Linked DNA regions of Mytilus edulis. The protein of the gene in region 1 binds, or shares a complex with, the protein of each later gene. Links are inferred from orthologs where the notes say so. Each region holds a gene or a part of one and is shown on either strand. Other genes may lie near its edges. The genes, in order: mediator of RNA polymerase II transcription subunit 20-like and mediator of RNA polymerase II transcription subunit 18-like.

Region 1 (10,360 bases):
GTCAGATTTGCTCTAAATGCTTCCATTTTTGAGATATAAGCCAAAAACTGCATTTGACCCCTATGTTCTATTTTAAGTAACGGCGGCCATGTTTTTTGACGGATCAAAAATCGAAGCACACACTTTGTGCAGGATAATCTAAGGAACAATCATTTTAAGTTTCATTCAAATCCATTCAGTAGTTTCAGAGGAGAAGATGTTTGAAAAATTGTTAACGACGACAGATGACGACGACGGACGCCAAGTGATGAGAAAAGCTCACTTGGCCTTTTAGGCCAGGTGAGCTAAAAAGAAAATGTGATATGATTGCCAATGAAACAACTCTTCACATGAGACCAAAATGACACATAAATTAACAACTATAGGCCACCGTACGACCTTCAACAATGAGCAAAGCCCATACCGCAAAGTCAGCTATAAAAGGCTGAAATGAAATGAAATAACAATGTAAATCAATTTAAATGAGAAAACTACTGGCCTTATTTATTTACAAAAATGAACGAAATGGTATGGTTCATCAGACCAAAGACATATAATATTATGTATTGTATATTAAATAATTTGATCAGACTACGACTTCATTTTCATAGAATGCTGATAATTTTTAAGTTGATGTGATATTTGTAGTAAAATCTTCAAATTTCAGACTGACCATGAAACCAATAATCAGTAAAACAGACAAGAGACACTTCAGCATGTGAATTCTTATATTTTTTTTGTACCTTGACCTCATTTTCACGGTTTATTGGTCTGAAATTTTGTATTTTGGTTTTCCACTATAAGTAATAGGTCAACTATATTTGGTGTGGAATTGTCAAGTTTCTGTAGTAAAAAATCCTTTTGTAAGATACCACAATTAGTAGGTCAACTTTATTTGGAATGGTTGTAAGATGAACATGTCTGCCGTACAGGGTTTATCTGACTTTCACCTTAAATTATTGTTTTAAATATTAATTTTCCAAATGAAATCTGTTTCTCAGATACTATAAACAATTAGGTCCACTATATATTTGATGTACGGAATGATTGTTACTGTTAGTTGTACATGTCTGTCTGACAGTCTTCACCTGACCATGACCTCATGTTCATTGTTCATTTTTTTGGTCTGTTTCTTGTATACTTTAAGCAAGAGGTCAATCATAATTGGTGTATTCATTGTAAGTTTATTCTCATCCTAAAAATACACGAAATATTTGCCTCAGTTAAGCAAACAATAGTCAATCATAAAAACTTAGCCCTGTACAAATCTTAAGAACTTTTAACATTGTACCAATAATGATTGTCGTCACTGCCAGTTTATCTCTGGTTAAAAAAATTAATTTGAGCATACAGGAATCCCATCTTTGAGAAAATGTATGAAGGCAATCCTTTAACTTTGGTATCACCAGTCTTGAGAAATGAATAGTCTTATCCTATCTTTAAATCTTAACATTTTACCATTACATCAAAACTGTAAATTACGAGGAACTGGAAGAGTGATTGTCTGAAAACATGGACAAATAAAAGACTTGATAACAGAAACAGGGGTTGTGTAAAAGAGACAACAACTCAACCAAAGAGCAAAGATCAGCTGGCCCGAACAATAATGTATACTTAGTTCAGCAAATTGGACAACACACTTAACTCAAAACATAACCCATTTTGCACGCAGGAAAGACAAAGTAATGGAAAGGATATCAGATAGAGATGTCTTGGCTCTGGTTATAAATTAGGAAATACCTGCTTTTGTATACTTTTATCCTTCAAACAAGGCAAAACTTTATAAACTGCTATAAGGAAATATAAACTGGAAAAAGTGAGTAAACAAAAGTTAACATACAATTTTTAAAAATCATTTGATTAGAGCTACATATTCCTGGGCCTATAGAAAACTCTAATATACCACAACAAATTACTTTATTTGTTGTTAAAACAATATATGTACAACATAATAAAATCTTATAACCATGTATCATATGCGATGTTAATTGTTTTATGTTTGTTCCAAGTCTTGTCTGCCTTAGAGTAAATGAGATGATACAAAAAAGTATGAAGATGGCTTAGTTCCTGCTCAATAACCTTTGCATCCATGATTCACTTCACAATTTATAGAATACATACATTAACATGATATTCAAATGGAAATGATTAAAATGTTCAAAATTTATAAAAAGATGTGTCCATCAAAAGATGAGATGATAACAATAATGAATGAATGAGAGATGGTAAAATGGAGATCTTAGTCCTTCATTTCTCCTTCTTCATCTTCTTCTTCCACTCCTCTGATGTACAAAACATTGTTACATCTGAAACAGAAAAGTAACAGACATTATTTATCTAATATGTATAGTCATTCTAATAATTATGATTCAAACTTTCTTTTTGCTACACTTTGAATCTTTGTTATTTTTGTTTTTAATCTTGTTAAATTATTTTATCATACATGGCTGACATTTCATATTTGCCATCGTTTTCCCTTTGGATGAAACTAATTCATGAATTTTCTTTTTTTACATTTTTTGCCGGTAAGAAATTGATGTGTATCACACTTTCAAATATTTTATAATAATAATAATAAACATCTGGAAATTTATTGTTATAAATGAAAGGTGAACAAAGGAACAAAATTCCATTGAATTGTGCATAGTTTATTTGTCCATGGGCAATATTTTGAATAACAAAAAATATCTTTATAGAAAAAAGGTGGCCTTGAACAGCACTTCCAAGGCAATTTCAATATAATTCATATTTTCAAGGGGCATAACTTTTTTTAACATAAAAGGGGAATGTGAGTTAGTACACGAATGCCCCTTAAGTTTTGCAATTTTCAAAAGTTTTCAGATATAAACCTTTGATATAAGAACGAAAAAATCTGGGAAGAATTGTATATGTGAGAATGCTTTCAAGACTAGACAGATAGACATCTGGTATTTCTATGCTACTGCAAAAAGTGTTGTGTGCAGGGGACATAAAGTTAATAAAGATTAAGTATTCTTAGAAAATACATGAAACAAAGCTTAATACTTTTTTTAAATTACAAATTGACATATAGACTATCTTCAGTGTGCATTTAATTAAAACAATACTTGCACAACATTTCTTCCAAAACTGAAAGCTCAAAAAATTAATCTATTTGAAATATTTGCAGTAAAGTGAAAGGAAATTATACATTATTCTTTATAATTAATTAAATACCTGATTAGAACCTCTCCAAGATTGCCTGTCTGAATACCATCAATGAATTCTTCTGTGTTAGCAAGCTAGAAACATAAAATACACAAAGCTTTAGTAAAACTTATCACTTCACATTTCCTTGAAGCTAGATCTACTTATTTTTATCTACATGTACATGTATGAGATATTATAATTCACATCTTGAAAATATCATTACATGTAACTTTTATCAACAAGTTTATCAATAATTCCAAAAAAATGAAACATGAATACTATATAATATATAATAATATCTGATTTAGCATGTTTAAAGGGCACAGCCATTTTTTTTATTTTGTTGGTACGATTTTCATAAAAAAATCAAAGTTAAAACTTTCCACTTTTTATTACATGTATTATTGCCTGACTATTCTTAATTCATTTCACCTAAAATATAAATGACTATACATGTATCTGTGTAGAAGCATTTACCTCAAATATTAAGAATGTGCATTATTTATCATGTTTCAACATAAACAGACAGAAATGATCACACAAAAACTTTAGTCCTGCTTGTCTGTGTTTTAAGAAAAAATCTGTTGTGATTTCAAAAGAAAATTCATAAATAAAAGACAATCAAAATGGATCTTGAAATTTATTTGCACAACAAAAACCAAAGTAAACTAAACCACTCTTTATAGAGAGTGAATTTCCCTTTATTGTCATAATCATGAAATATATTATACTTAACCATTTTGGAATACAGTCACAATGTTTAAAAATAAAATATTTCATGATTATGACAATTTTTTTTCAAGGAGACAAAACTTAAAAGTACTGCAAGGCAAGTCTTCTACATAATGTTTATTGGTGTCTATAAATCAACTGACCTGTAAGTTCATGTAACCATCTACAGATACCAAGTAGCCTTTATATTCCATTCCCCATTTTAGCTTGACCATCACTGGTTTTCCTGTTAGTCCATTTAAAAATGGTTTCGGGTTCATAGGTAAAGCCTAAAAGTAAACAAAATAAAAAGTTAACAAATACACAAAATAGTGTTTATTATATCATACTAAATAAGTCATATAAACAAGTTTGTAGACAGTACATGTTTATAACATTACATGTATGTTCCATAACTTTTTCATCTCTTAACAATAAAAAGTATAATGTAATAAAAAAAAACAGTCAGCTAATTATTATCTTGCATGTACATGTACACAATGTAGGTCCTACATCAACTGACATTTCAAAGCCTTCTTTTGTCTAGATTTATAAAATTGGGTTTAGAACTGAAACTTTTATCTTCCACTGGAAATTCAAAATAGCATAGTTGAACTTTCTGTTTTAGGCTGTTAAGTACATTTATTGACAATTTCTGCAGGCAATTTGTGGTTAAACAAAATGCTCATTTTATAGACAGCTTTTGAATTCATTACATTTCCAGCAATAACTTCCGTTTTAGTAAACATTGTTCGAATGTTTATGGGCATCTTCACTTCCGTTACTATGTTGTGCAAGTGATATGATGCTACAATGTATATTGCACAAATTATTTGGCAAATCAAATTCTTATAATTGCTCAGTGAACAGAATTGCCCAAAATTGTCAAACAGGCTTATTTATAATACACAGTGTTCTAGCCAGGATTTGAAAAGGGTATGGTGCTACATGTAGTTCAAAAAGGGGCAATTTTACGTGTAACTGCCATTGAAAAAAGGGCAATTTTACATGTTAATTAATGTCACTGAAAAAAAGGCAATTATTTAAGCCTCATAATTAATTAGCACATAACTTTTACTATGCATTCTTGTAAATTCAAGTTTCAGTTAAAATGGAGTAATATATTTCAAATTCAATACTTTTGGCAAATTTTTCATGGTTGACTTCATAAATCTATGGTCATGATGCTGAGACCCTTTCAGGAAGCTGTTTCTTTCATATAACATGTATGTAGTTGCTGTTATATTACCAGTCTCACCAATGTATTAACAGATTTTGTGATTTTTTTATACTAGATTGCACTTGATAGATCAGTTAATGGAAGTAAAGATATAATTTTCAAAATATTTAATTTTGAAGTGTATTCAAGTGAAAATAACTTAAAGAAATATTCTAATATGCATTTGCATTAAATTAATTTTTAATCCTTTTACAAAAAGAAACATAAATTTAAAGAATATAGTGTGAACAGGTGGAAAATAAGGGGAAGTAACTTATTTTGTTGATATACACAAATTATGTTGCATGACCTAAAGCTAAGATTATTTGTGTTAATTGACAATTATGTGTTTGACACCAAAGCTGTCAGAAGAAGCCATGCACTTAATGGGTTACTTAATTTGACAGTTTGCACAGGTAGCTGAACTTCTTGTTCATGGAAGATTTACAAATCAGCAGGTCGTCTGAGGGACAGCAGAAAAAAGGCACGGGCGTTGTGCCCTGTTCAAACTTTGTAGCTAGACCACTGATACACCATATCGCTATTTGTCCACCATTACTGGATATCACACAGGTTCCCATAAAATTTTGACGTCATAAACGAAATATCTGACGCCACAATGGATAAGTGATTGTGTACGATGTCAAAAGTTCAAGCCGTCGGGTCAGCCGGGATAATTTAGCGATAAGGTGTATAAACAGATAAACAGACATAGACTAATTCTTAGATTGACATATATTGGAAGATGGACCCATCACTGATAGTATCAGTATTTAGCTCTGCGTCATAAACTATTTTTTGTAGGTTTAAGTGATAAATTTAAATGAAATGCAAGATAATGGTGTAATGCATGTGTTATAGTAGTCTCAAAATGCATACACAAATAAAATGCGCTTTGTTATGACCTCCCCCTTTTTATATGACATCCTGGATTCCCTTTATTTAAAGCGGAATTTCATAGATTGGTCATTTTACAGAAAAGTAGGGTTAATCTAAGAACTGTGCATCGAAGATGATCAGTATATACGTACGGCCATCGTGTGTTTTCTTGTGTGATTCGATTAATAACAACAGCGTGGTCTATTCGTTTCGCCGCCGGTGGTTAATAAATAATAAGAAATTATTAACCCACAAAAAAACGAAACATTTTAATCAAAATTATTCTAAATTTTACACAATACATCAATTTTAGTGAAATTACATCAAAAGAAGCGATTTTAGTTAAATTAACTAGAATTTTATGAATTTAGTTACACATTAATATATGGTAAACTAAAATTCGTTTTGTTTGAAAACAATGAATAAATAAAATATTAAGTTATGTCCCTTGTTGTACAAAAATAATGAAATGGGAGTTGTGTGGTAATTGTTTGAAATAGGTTCAATGCATGAGCTTAAATGCACCTAACTCATTTTAAGAAATCGCAATCTGTATAGGTTAAAAAAAGTTCAAAGTCATTTCATATTGTAGAAGACTAAAAATAACTAGATTTCACTGTGCACTTTTTTTGGTCCTTGCTAAAGATAATGAAATTAACAAACTGTTGAGTTTCAGTTGATATGGTCCACTCAGTGACACAGTTTAAATCTACAATTATTGTCAGGTATCTATTGTCTCTCTGTTGTCCTTGTCAATGTACAGTCCTCTTCAAATCCAGGTTTTTGAAGAGCTAATACTGGTACTGAAAAAAATTTGATGTATGCCTTTTTGTGCTTCTTCGTTACATTTGTTGTTTTTAGTGATTAGGATGATAACACAATGTTGACTGCTGTACCCCTATTTTTTGACATTTTTACCTATTGTGTCTGTTTGTTTTGTTCATGCATCGGTGACAATATAATGGAATTTGATGCAACTGTCATACAAGTGAGAGGTTTAGCTAGCTATAAAACCAGGTTCAATCCACCATTTTCTACATTTGAAAATGCCTGTACCAAGTCAGGAATATGACAGTTCTTGTCCATTTGTTTATGATGCGTTTTGTTATTTGATTTTGCCATGTGCATGATGTGATTATGGACTTTCCGAATTGATTTTCCTCTGAGTTCAGTATTTTTTTTCCCATGAAATAAAATTTACTATTTAAAAAAATGTAGAATTATAGAAAATTGATGAAAATATGTATAAAACTTTTGCTTACTTTTTAAATTATAAAAAATATTGTATCTAATGGGATGCAGGTCGTTTTCTAACTGAGACGTTTGTAACCTTATAATTACAATATATTTATAATAGTGCGAGTCATAAGTAAATGGCCAGTGGAGCATATGAGTACTGACTTTAACAAGCTAAAGGACATGGCTCCAGTTGGTCGTCTACGAGTAGTTCTACGGTATGTTCAAAAACATTGAACAGTCGACAGTGGCCAAATGCAAGTTGGTGTGTGTTTATGCAATCCATCCCACCATTATTAACGACGTAGAGTGATGGCACAACAACCTTAACACCAAAGCTGTCATCGACAACCATTCATTCTATCTTTGACAAAAAAAAGGAGAAAATAATTATTTTTTTCAGCTTGTGTGCCATTTTTAATACTCTACTATTCACTTTATACCTCATTTTGTACCTACTGTTATTACTTTTTATTACCTGCCATTAGTTGTCCTTAAACCATTAAAGTTGTCACCGAGCATAATTACTAATTAGTTTTAATTGAAAATATTGTTATTATCAGGCCACACCAATTTGATTAATAGTTCTTTGGATTTTCCTGCTCCTGTTTTGGAGAAATTGACTTTTCAATGAAAAAAATAATTATCTCTTCTGCAAATTTTTGGGCCGCATGCCGCTCCAAAATTAGTTTATCATTGACATTTTTTTGTTTATCCTTGACATTTTTTTTTCTCATAGATGTTTTTCTTGTGCACATCCATCGATTCAAATGCACGTGTGATAAATAGATTTGTTAATAAAAGGTCAAAAATTAGGATGCCAACATGAAGTTGTGTCAGTTTATTGCAAAGGACAAGTACCATGAGTACAGAGATAATTTTAATGTGCGTATTGTTATGCGTTTACTTTACTACATTGGTTAGAGGTATAGGGGGAGGGTTGAGATCTCACAAACATGTTTAACCCCGCCGCATTTTTGCGCCTGTCCCAAGTCAGGAGCCTCTGGCCTTTGTTAGTCTTGTATTATTTTAATTTTAGTTTCTTGTGTACAATTTGGAAATTAGTATGGCGTTCATTATCACTGGACTAGTATATATTTGTTTAGGGGCCAGCTGAAGGACGCCTCCGGGTGCGGGAATTTCTCGCTACATTGAGGACCTGTTGGTGACCCTCTGCTGTTGTTTTTTATTTGGGCGGGTTGTTGTCTCTTTGACACATTCCCCATTTCCATTCTCAATTTTATAGAGTACCAGTAGTTATGGTATTAAACACACAGTTATTTGAAATGCATTTCGTTTTATTTATGAAGACCTGTTCTAGGAGATAAAATAAAAAATCTTTCGTTAGATGACCACGATCACATTTGTACTCGTTAGATCCATTGTCATCCCCAATCATTGTTTCAGCTGTTCAACAGACATAGTACGAGATCACTCTAACGTCCATCACACATACATCTAATTATATGCATAAGACATGGATCATGTTTTTCCTTTTTTTTCTTTGAAGTAACCCAGTTTGAACATGAAGATAAAGTTTTAAATTGCACAATTTAAAAAAACACATTTTACCGCTCACTCCACTTGTAGAGCACCTGCCTCATCAAAACTCAATTTCTTGAAATATATACAATCAAAAAAATTTCTCTTGCTTGCCCAATATTTTTTGGAGCTTTTGTCCTAAGAAGTACAAATCAAATTGGTGTGGCCTCAAATGAACATTTTGATCATTTTAAGAAAATAATTGTTTAAATTAAACTATTAAATTGATTTAAACTAACAATTTATAACCATATATAATTACACCAGGTACGAAACGCCTCAGTTACAAATCAACGTAGTTACGAATCAACCAGGTATAAAACGACCAGGTTACGAAAAAATTAGCATTCCTAAAAGTGGAAAGGGATTAATATTAGTTACAAAACTTGTTTTCCAATCCACTATAAATAGATATGTTTAAACGAATTAGCATTCCTGTAATTATGTTTTCATGATGTCACAATTCCTCACATTAATGGTGAAAATCAAAATCTCAAAGATATCTTTCTATTTTTCTGTTTCATATATATTTTGGTCAAAGGGTATGGCCAGTGTTTAAAATGCAGTTTAACAGCAAATTTGAAGGAAAAGGAGAGAATATAACCTTTGTTTGTTTGTATGTCCATACATCCCAAAATTGGTTTCTGTTATCTGAATTTAGTTTTCATCAACCAAATGTTATGAAACTTGTATACACTATACACAATGGTTATTACAACAAAACACAGAGCAATTTTAAATTTTGGTGGTGTTACCTTTACTGTTCAAGAGTTATGCCCCCTTACCATTGAAAATATTGCTGAATTTGTCTTTCTCTAACTTAAGTTTTCCTTTACCAAATGTTATGAAACTTATACACAATGTTTATTACCACAAAACTCAGATCAAGTACAGGTTTGGGTGACTTGAGATCACTTCTTTACTGTTCTTGAGTTATGTCCCTTTATCATGTTTATAATGTCACAAGTAAGTGAAGGCATAATCTGTGTCCCTTGGATACGTTCCCAATTTTTTTATTTTTTTAAAGCATTCTAAACTTTTGAAAATATCTAGTTTATGTGTTATTTTTTTTTAATTTTGCACATTTAAGATTGCAAGTATTGGTAATTAGGTTACAATATATGTATATATGCTATTGTTTGAAATTAAGGGCCAAATTTTGGCTGTCTCTGTCCTATATTTTTCAGTTTCCTTTGATATCCCTTTTTGATAATCATATTCAACTTTGTTCTAATTTTGTCTTTGTAGTATTTTTAGCTATGCTGTGCCTGAGGGTAAGAGTGGACAACAAGCAGTTGATATGTTACAGAAAAATGTAGAATTACTAGGAGCTACAAGATCTGGAAACTTTTGTGTTGATTGTGAAACTTACCAGTCAAATTCACAGAATAGTAAGTTATACATTGTACAAAAAAAGTAATTGTTCCTTGAATCATTATTTATGTAAGGGGATCTTATTATAACATGGTTGACATATCTATCAAAGAAGACCACAGAATTTGTTTTTTTTTTGTTGTTGCAACAACTCTCCCATCCTTTTCCTCATTTATTACTCATCTTCAAATATGACCAGATGGTTATTTTTTGTAAGCAACATTATGATGTGTACTACTTGTATTACTAGGC
Region 2 (10,629 bases), on another chromosome or scaffold:
GAGTGATTTGACTGATCACACATATCAATAATAAACTCTGTAAAAAGTAACCTTTATTAATTTACTATAATAAATCTTTTCAAAAGCTAGGACCCAATGATTAGCTATACTAGTTAGTATAAAAAAGAAAATGTGGTATGACTGCCAATGAGACAACTCTTCAAAAGAGACCAAATGACGCGGCAATTCACATTTAAAATGTAAAGGTCACCATATAGCCTTCAATAATGGTCAAAGCCTATACTGCATAGTCAGCTATTAAAGGCCCTGAAAAGACAAATGTAAAACAATTCAAACAGAATTATTACAAACCTGAAACCAACTTCATGAAGAAACTGTAAAACATTATCTGAGGTAGCTACATCAACACAGTTCCTTATTAGTGTGTGTCGACTTTTATCTCCCATCTCAGAATGACCAAGGTATCGTAGCTGCCTGAAAATATAAGATAATAAATTTTACTAAGTGAACATTTGCAGTGCCAATTTTACTGCATCAAATACACATTTCAACAATTTATATTACTTTATTAGTGCTTGAGTTTGGATTTTTTTTAAATCCCAACCCTAATACAAACTTGGGAGTTTATATAAAAAAAAAGGCAAACAAAAAAATAGCCAAATATCTTTAAGGATTAGGTATAGAAGCAAGAAGGATATATTCTGATATATTCCTATATTCAAAATTATTTCATTATTTCATATGAGCAAATTTCAACAAAACAATAACTAAAATTTAATTCCAGTTCTGAATATGCTGAATCAACAAAAAACAAACTATAAAGGTAAAAAAATCTAAAAAATACTGTCATGATTTTACAAAATGTAAGTTTTTATTACATTTCAATTTGGTCAAAACTTGAAATAACTGCAACTATTCATTTATTTTCATAAAATGATCAAAAAAGAATAAAAATTTCAGTATACATGTCTTCTTCTTTTTCTTCCAAGTTATAAAGGAACCAGATTCAATAACTGAATGTAAACGGTCCTGCAAAACCTTTGCGCATGTACATGATGTACATACATTTGTTAGGTATAAGAAAATTTTCATTACTTTTTTTTCCTTTTGTGACTTTTATCATGTTTATTGGTGAAAATAGTTGAAATTACGTGTACATGCATATGTGACTTATGAATTCTTTTCAAATTGTAAACTATTTTTGAGCAGATCTATAGCAACTGCTCCTACAAATGAATTCATAATATTTGCAATATTTTTCAGTACCTTTCTAAATTACATCAATTCAATTTCTCAATAAAATTGAGAATAAAAATGGGGAATGCATCAAAGCGACAACAAACCGATCATAAAGAAGACAACAGCCAAAGGCCACCAAAGGGTCTTCAATATAGAGTGAAACTCCCGCATCCAGAGGCGTCCTTCAGCTTGCCCCTAAACAAATATGTATACAAGTTCAGTGATAATGGAAGTCATACTAAACTCCAAACTATACACAAGAAACTAAAATTAAAATTCATATAAGACTAACAAAGGCTCCTGACTCAGGACAAGCACAAAATTGCAGCTGGGTTAAACTTGTTTTTTGAAATCTCAACCTCCCCCTATACCTCATGTAGAAAAAACATACCGCCAACAACACAATGAGTACTGGACAGGGACTTACCAGTTTTCTGGTTGAACCAGGGAATGTCTGACACTATATTGTAATGGCTGAGGAATGCTGGCATTCTCTGATTTGAAATATAATAAAAAGAAAAGATTAAAGCAAAACAAGACTTGATGATTACAGTTAAAAGATATAAGAAGATGGGGTATAAGTGCCAATGAGACAACTCTCCATTCAAGTCACAGCATTAATTTTTACCAATTTCAGAGTATAGTATTAGGTTTACAAAACACACAGATGGGCTTATCTAAAAATTTACTTTATCTGTTTTTCATTCTTTTCTTTGTTCATTAATTAGGCTGTTCATGCTGTTAGTTTTCTTGTTTGAATTTTTTTTACGTTTGTAATTTTGAGGCCTTCAATAGCTGACTATTGGGTATGGGCTTTGCTCAGTGTTAAGGGCAGTACAACAACCTAAATGGTTAATTTCTTTGTCATTTAGTCTCTTGTGGAGAGATGTCTCATTGTCAATAAAACCACATCTTCTTTTTTATATTATATTAAAATGTTTAAAAAAAATAAATCAAGCATAATTTCTTCTTTTTATGTTATTATAAACATGCATATTGCTCAAGTGTATCAAATAGATAACTATTACTTCCTCATTAAGTACTGTTATTAGTAAAACTATACTTAGTTTAACTAATATTCAATTAAGAATGACATGTTTTTTTTGTAAATTTATATGGATGTAAAAGTGTTGGCCGGGGTACATTTTCTTTGAGCCACAGAAGCACTTCATTCTAAAAATGTGCACAGTCAACACTTCAACAACCCTATAAACTTATTTAAAGAAGCATTCAATATTAATAATTAAATTCTTTTGCTAGAAAATTCTAGAATCATGAAAACAAGACTTTCTTTTATTTATATGTGCATGTTATTGTGAAAGCTCCTGTCTTCATAAATGTTACATTTTTGATTTTCATTTTAAAATTCAGGTTAATTTCAGAATGACTCCAGATTGCTGTTAGCCAGTTAAAGTAACATATATTGAAACATACATGTAATGTAATTATTCAACATTTACCGTCATTTTACTGAATACTTACTGATGGCATACACCATTTCATGATCTACAAATTTTTCTTCAGGAGAATCAGCATGATCACAAAGACCTTTCAGTCTACACAATAAGACTTCTAACGAACTGTCTAAAATGCTTCCTTGTAGAAGGTATTCATTGGTTGGTGCTGCCTTTAATGCTTGTGCTAATTGTGGATCCATCATATTTATCAACAATTATTCATTTCTGGAGAAAAAAAAACTAATTTAACTTTTAACATTCAGAAATAGAAACAGCTGCACAAAGAGTATATGTACTAATGAACTCAAAATCGTTCAATTTTTTTATGTTATGTTTTGAATTCCCGCATCTGTGCAGAAATATACAATGTACTTCCTTTTTCTGGTCTCATTTGTATGAAACTTTGAGTAAAATATATATTTATCAGTCTAGTATAAAATAGGAAGGAACGCAATACCAATTTCATTTTTGATAATTCCTTGATATGAAAAAAACATTACCTGATGATAGCGTTTCTTTGTTTACATTGCATATGACGTCATAACTTAAATAACGTCACAACTAAAATACCTAACAACAGAACCAAAATCGGAAACGTTACGGTATTTCCGTTTCTTTTTTTTAACAAATATATTTAAGGTTCAAAAAAAATAATTCATACAGACTTCGTCCCCATTTACAGGTAATGCCTGCCTCATATTACATGTAAATAGAAACAGCTGCACAAAGAGTACATGTATGATATTCCTGTCTTGTGTATATCAGTCTGACCCGTTACCCACTATAGTCCAATTCCCTAGTCCAAATAATAAGACGTCTGGCAAGGCTTCTTCATTTTTTTTCTGGGACGCCTTTCTCAGACTAGTAAGCTTTCACAAAAATTTGATGAGACCAATTAGAAAAATGTCAGAATATTTGTCCCCTTTCAACATGTTCAAGATAAAGCCTGCCTCATATGATTTATCATTCAATTTTAGAGCACAGGTACTTCACTTGGTGCATGGTTCCTCCATTTTCATACCTGCCAACTGTCACTATTGGTGGGGGATTTCCCCCATGGAAGCTCCAAAATGTAAATTTTGAAATAGCAATTTTGTCCAAAATTTTAAACAAAACAATGAATTTTACAATGGCTATTGGCGTGTAAAAGTATGCAGAAGCCAAAAACCAACATTAAAATGAATTTGAAGGCCCCCTTGAAGGTTTTGTAGGACTACATATATTGCGATATAGGAGCCATCTTCATCAATGTTCATGATCTTGCATGCAAAACCCCCATGGTCATTTTGAAAAGTTGGCAGGTATGCATTTTCTTATCTCTTTTTTCTTGTTGTAAATGTCTTTTCATTTTTTCTTATTTATTTTCTTTTATTCAATGTCTTCTTACTCTTATCCATACATGTCATATTTACAACAATGGTTTTTATATAGGCTATTATACATGTAGATCATTATAGATGTCATATATAATTTTGCCCTTTTATTCTTATTTCCCTACTGTTATTGCTTTGAGTGACATTGTGCTCTATCATTTATATCAGGATTAAACCTCTTGTGATATTGAAGTATTAAAGTTACCCTTAAAATGTTCGATTACAAGCAATTGTACCAAAATACATTGTTCAGTTTCTGAAAATAAAAACAAAACTGAAACCGGAAACTGTACTAACCATATAAAAACGAAATCGAGTTCGGTTTCAACGACAAACGGTTACGGAATCAAAGGTTATTGATAGGGGTGAGGAGTACGCCGGTTATTTTAATACTCGAATAGCTACTCTGAAATTGGGAGTAAATTCTGGACATTATTATTTTCTTTAATCAGTGTATATATATAAGAATAAGAATAAGATATATATATATGTTTTACCGAATTGTTTAATTTTGGAGCCTTGTTATCACCTCATATTATAGCACCCCATTATTTTTTATTCATTATTTTTGTTGTCCCACTAGCGGATTTAGGGGGGTTTGGGTTTCTACCCCCCCCCCCCCCCCCTCCCCCGTGCTTAGAAATCTTAAAAGATCTTCGCAAGGATTTCTAGTCTCACGAAATCATACAAATATTGACGCCAGTATTGTTAACCTTTTGCATAAAGGAAATAAATTAATATTATATACTGAAATATATATAGCAAAGAACTATAGCGACTGGAATTTAGAAAGTCGAAGAATAATTATGTTTATATCTAAAACGTCACTATCAATTAACTATCGTACTCGTAAATGCATACACAGAATTTTAAAATTCCCGCTTTTTATCCGTTTATAAACGATCACATGAATACTAATCTTTCTAGCTGATAAACCACACGAGAACGAATATGTCAAATTAAAAAGGTAATTTTTAGATTTCATTCGATATTTGCTATATTAATTCTTTTTTCATCTTTAATTCTGCCGTTTTGTTTATTTCCCTATATATATATATAATATTGCTATAACATACATTAGACTAAAGTGAAATTTGTCAAAGTATATATATATATTACGGATTACAAATGTGTCGAGGTTTCTGATTGGATAACAACTCAGAGATGTCAGTATATATTCAGGAAACTGCCGGGGTATATACTACGTTTCTATCCCCAATTGGAACTTCAAAAACGTCATCATAACACCGGTTACTATGTGACGTAGTCATAAGCTATCAGACTGTCAGAGGTTCACAGAGGGAAAATAATGACGTGCTTCAGTCAATAATACATTTTTGATACAAAATCACGCAATTAACACTTTTAATACTTTAATTTGATGTTAAAAGTGTTATTATAAATTATTACATACACGATAAAATTATGTTCACAGAAAATTAAAAAATCCTTCACGTATGCCGAACATATAAGGTTGGGTTTTTCAATATATATGTGTTGTCAACAAATACCTGCACTGGAAAATAACATTAAGTCAGGGGTAATCCGTAATATATGTGTAATTCAGGTCTCAGAAAGGGTATATACTGTGACATTCCCGGCTTAGGGCTTATATCCCCTTCGCCTTCGGCTCAGGGGATATAAACTCTAAGCCGGGAATGTCACAGTATATACCCTGTCTGAGACCTGAATAACATATAATATTACGGATTACAAATGTGTCGAGGTTTCTGATTGGATAACAACTCAGAGATGTCAGTATATATTCAGGAAACTGCCGGGGTATATACTACGTTTCTATCCCCAATTGGAACCTCAAAAACGTCATCATAACACCGGTTACTATGTGACGTAGTCATAAGCTATCAGACTGTCAGAGGTTCACAGAGGGAAAATAATGACGTGCTTCAGTCAATAATACATTTTTGATACAAAATCACGCAATTAACACTTTTAATACTTTAATTTGATGTTAAAAGTGTTATTATAAATTATTACATACACGATAAAATTATGTTCACAGAAAATTAAAAAATCCTTCACGTATGCCGAACATATAAGGTTGGGTTTTTCAATATATATGTGTTGTCAACAAATACCTGCACTGGAAAATAACATTAAGTCAGGGGTAATCCGTAATATATGTGTAATTCAGGTCTCAGAAAGGGTATATACTGTGACATTCCCGGCTTAGGGCTTATATCCCCTTCGCCTTCGGCTCAGGGGATATAAACTCTAAGCCGGGAATGTCACAGTATATACCCTGTCTGAGACCTGAATAACATATAATATTTCTACTTTCGTTCTGCTGCAAGGTATTTGTCCTTTTTTTTTTTTATCAGCAACCCTTAAAATGTGGTCATCTATTGGTCTCTTAGGACAGACAGTAAACACTTTTTCACTGGATATATATGATGTTGTTCTCGTCTTGAACATGCATGGAACATTTGCCACTGGACGTTAAGCAACCAACAATCAATCAATCAATCTGGATATATACACGGACATACATGTTTCATCGATATCGGTAGTGCAAATATTTGGATATATCATATATCCTTTTTCCCCGTTTAATTCACATACGCATCAGTTGAAGTTCAACTACTGCATGCATTAGCGCATGAGTATCATTTCATGAAGATATAAAATAAGGAAAATACAGATACATGCCCAAACAAATGCTTTGTATGCCTCACTTAGATGTATTATGTTGTGCATCCGTCCGTGCGTTCCTTCGATCGTCTGTCCCGCTTCAGGTAAAAGTTTTTATGCCCCATTTATGGGCATTATGTTTTCTGTTCTGTGCGTCCGTCCGTCTGTTCGTTGGACTGTCTGCCCCGATTCAGGTTAAAGTTTTCAGGTTAAAGTTTTTGGTCGAGGTAGTTTTTGATGAAGTTGAAGTCCAATCAACTTGAAACTTAGTACACATGTTCCCTATGATATGGTCTTTCTAATTTTAATGCCAACGTAGAGATTTTCTCTCATTTATATGGTCCACTGAACATAGAAAATGATAGTGCGGATGGGGCATCCGTGTACTGGGGGTCGACACATTCTTGTTGGTTAAAGTTTTTGGTCAAGGTAGTTTTTGATGAAGTTGAACTCCAAATTAGAGTTTTGACCCAAATATAAGGTCTAATGAACATTAAAAATGGTGGTGCGAGTGATGCACCCGTAGACTATGAATAAAACCTTTTTTTGCTATATATTCATATGTTGGTATTTCTATAAGAAGAACACGACAACACTGCACACTGAAGCAGGGCTCTGTCATCACATGCAATGTGCTACAATGAAAGCATATGTATAGCCATACTAGTTATGTAATCGTTTATTAACCTTTATGAGAGGCCCAGATAGTTTAACAATATTACAAGTAGTATCATGCCAGGCTATATTTTATAGGTCCTTTTTGGTCATATAGCCCTTCAACTGTTAAGAATATCATTAGATCTTAGATTTCAAATATTCGGCTTTAAGTGTGAAGGAAAGTACCTCGGTCTCATGAAATTTATAACTTGTTTTCATTTTATATAGAAATTGAAGTAAGATTTGTTTTAATAAAATCTATTTCTGAACAATAAATTTTGTATTTGTATACAATTATAGCTTTCGGCTTACTCGGTTTTAACCTTCTTGTACCTCTGATTGTCCGGACGGGGTTAAGAGAATAGAAAATGAACTTAGGTGTCATGATGTAAATTTCTGTAATTTATTTCATAACTTTTCAATCATGACTGTTTTGTGTTGTTACAATCTTTCTAAAAAATAAGTAAAATAGAACTTAAAAAGTCAATGTCATTAAGCTTAATTAATACTTGTGAATAGACCAAATTTGTCAAATGTTTATTTAAAATTAGTGTAATTTTATATTCGAGCAATTCGATATTTGATCTAAAAAGAGACAATAAGAAAATATAGTCAGCAAGTCCGTTAGAATACGGATGACCCCGTATTGCTACATTTAAGGACTTTCAAGCGGACTGTGCCCTTTTTAGCTCACCTGGCCCGAAGGGCCAAGTGAGCTTTTCTCATCACTTTGCGTCCGTCGTCCGTCGTCGTCGTCATCCGTCGTCGTCGTCGTCGTCGTCGTCCGTCGTCGTCGTCGTCGTCCGGCGTTGTTAACTTTTACAAAAGTCTTCTCCTCTGAAACTACTGGGCTAAATTAAACCAAACTTGGTCACAATTATTATTGGGGTATCTAGTTTTAAAAATGTGTGACGTGATCCGGCCAACCAACCAAGATGGCCACCATGGCTAAAAATAGAACATAGGGGTAAAATGTAGATTTTGACTTATAACTCTGAAACCAAAGCATTTAGAGCAAATCTGACAAGGGGGTAAAATTGTTTATCAGGTCAAGATCTATCAGCCCTCAAATTTTCAGACGAATCGGACAACCGGTTGCTGCCCCTGAATTGGCAATTTTAAGGAAATTATAATGTTTTTTGGCTATTATCTTGGCTATTATTATAGATAGAGATAAACTGTAAACAGCAATAATGTTCAACAAAATAAGATCTACAAATAAGTTAATATGACTAAAATGGTCAGTTGACCCCTTAAGGAGTTGTTGCCCTTTATAGTCATTTTTTACCAATTTTTCGTAATTTTTTGTAATCTTTTACAAAAATCTTCTCCTCTAAAACTACTGGTCCAAATTTAACCATACTTGGCCATAATCATCATTGAGGTATCTTGTTTTAAAAAAATGTGTGCGGTTACCCTGCCAACCAACCAAGATGGCAGCCAGGGCTCAAAATAGAACATAGGGGTAACATGTAGATTTTGGCTTATAGCTCTGAAACCAAAGCATTAAGAGCAATTCAGACATGGGGGTTAAATTGTTTTGCAAGTCAAGATCTATCTGCCCTGAAATTTTCAGATGAATCAGACAATCGGTTGTTTGGTTGCTGCCCCTGAATTAGTAATTTTTAGGAAATTTTGCTGTTTTTGGTTATTATCTTGAATATTATTATAGATAGAGATAAACTATAAATAGCAATAATGTTTGGCAAAGTAAGATCCACAAATAAGTCAAGATGACCAACAAGGTCAGTTGACCCCTTAAGGAGTTATTGCCCTTTATAGTCCATTTTTAATCATTTTGTAAATTTTTGTAAATTTTAATAAAATATTTTCCTCTTTAACTAATGGGCCAAGTTCATTATAAATTGAGATAATTGTAAGAAGCAAGAATGTTCAGTAAAGTAAGATCTACAAACACATCACCATCACCAAAACACAATGTCATGAATCCATCTGTGTCCTTTGTTTAATATGCACATAGACCAAGGTGAGCGACACAGGCTTAAGATCCTCTAGTTATATTGTTTTAAACAACTACTGTTAATTGTTATTCTTTATTGATATTTATTTGCAGTTTTTTGTGTGAAATGGCGACATCCTCTCAAAACTGTGGTGTTTGTGACGCACGCCACATCAACAAACCATCTACAATCTGGTGCACAGAATGTGACGAGGGACTATGTACAGAATGCCAGGAACATCACAGTTTGTCCAAAGGAACAAGAAACCATAAAGTGATACCAATCATTGAATACAAGCAATTACCAGCTGATGTACTAAAGATTAGTCAAATCTGTAGCAAACACAATCAAAAGTTTCAAATCTATTGCCAGATGCATGAATGTCCTTGTTGCAGCAAGTGTATTGTAGAAAGCCATAAAGAATGCCATGACATCGTTAATTTAGATGACGTCATTCTTAATTCAAAAACATCGAATGACTTGTCCGAGATAGAGGAAACATTAGTTGAAATAGCAGAAAACATCAAAAAAATTCGTGAGAACCAACAGGATAATATTTCAGCTTTGAAAGAGAGGAGAAAGGAAATTGAAGAAGAAATCGAGAAGACAAGAAAAAAGATCAACAACCGTCTTGACAAATTACAAAAAGATTTAATAAAACAACTGAATGTGGACGAAGATAAAGAAAACTCGAAAATTCGTCGGTTAATATCAACATTGGAAAAGAAGGAAAAGGAAGTTGCCGATTGTCAGCGAAACATTGGAAACATCAAACAACACGGAACGCACCTTCAGATGTTTCTTTCAATGAAGCATATAAAAGAGGACGTCTCTAGCAAAGAAAAGTTCCTGCACTCACTTTTCCAAGGTGAGGATTTGAACCAGAGTTCTCTAGAGTATAAAATAAACGGTGCTATTCAGAATATCATGTCAAATGTAACTAGTTTTGGAGAAGTATATATTGAAGCTAAACCTTGCGATCTTGTCCTGAGTAGAAAGAATGCTAAACAAGCCCAGATAATGGTACCAATCGTTCAAGCAAGATCCATTGAAGATATACAGCTGCGTATAAACAAGACAATAAACACACAAGGACAACGCGTTTACGGATGTTGCATGCTGCTGGATGGTAGATTGGCATTTACTTTCCGCGATGAAAGGACAGTGAAAGTCTTCAACATGGAGGGATCAAAAGATTTTGAGATGGAGATACCGTGTGGAGTATTTCATATAATAAACATCGGCGATACCAATACATTGGTTGTTACATCCGGGGAATCAGATAAGCAATGTCTTTCCATTATAGACCTGGAGAGGAAACTAATCAAG

What was found.
Region 2: mediator of RNA polymerase II transcription subunit 20-like (region 1) and mediator of RNA polymerase II transcription subunit 18-like share a complex: the UniProt entries of both Drosophila melanogaster proteins name them as parts of the mediator complex. The link is inferred for Mytilus edulis from reciprocal best matches to the Drosophila melanogaster genes MED20 and MED18.

The regions. Positions count from the first base shown.
Region 1 is NC_092344.1:16,047,795-16,058,154, reverse strand, and holds the start of mediator of RNA polymerase II transcription subunit 20-like, read left to right. Parts: upstream 1-7,360; 5' UTR 7,361-7,375; coding exon 7,376-7,410; intron 7,411-9,982; coding exon 9,983-10,125; intron 10,126-10,360. Other genes in the region: small nuclear ribonucleoprotein F, read right to left, coding at 2,219-2,285, 3,175-3,239, 4,023-4,148, 6,109-6,114. UniProt on the Drosophila melanogaster protein: Component of the Mediator complex, a coactivator involved in the regulated transcription of nearly all RNA polymerase II-dependent genes.
Region 2 is NC_092350.1:56,517,990-56,528,618, reverse strand, and holds the start of mediator of RNA polymerase II transcription subunit 18-like, read right to left. Parts: upstream 4,339-10,629; 5' UTR 4,236-4,338; intron 3,523-4,235; exon of another isoform or gene 3,319-3,522; intron 3,039-3,318; exon of another isoform or gene 2,883-3,038; 5' UTR 2,861-2,882; coding exon 2,683-2,860; intron 1,695-2,682; coding exon 1,628-1,694; intron 436-1,627; coding exon 313-435; intron 1-312. Other genes in the region: E3 ubiquitin-protein ligase TRIM71-like, read left to right, coding at 9,427-10,629. UniProt on the Drosophila melanogaster protein: Component of the Mediator complex, a coactivator involved in the regulated transcription of nearly all RNA polymerase II-dependent genes.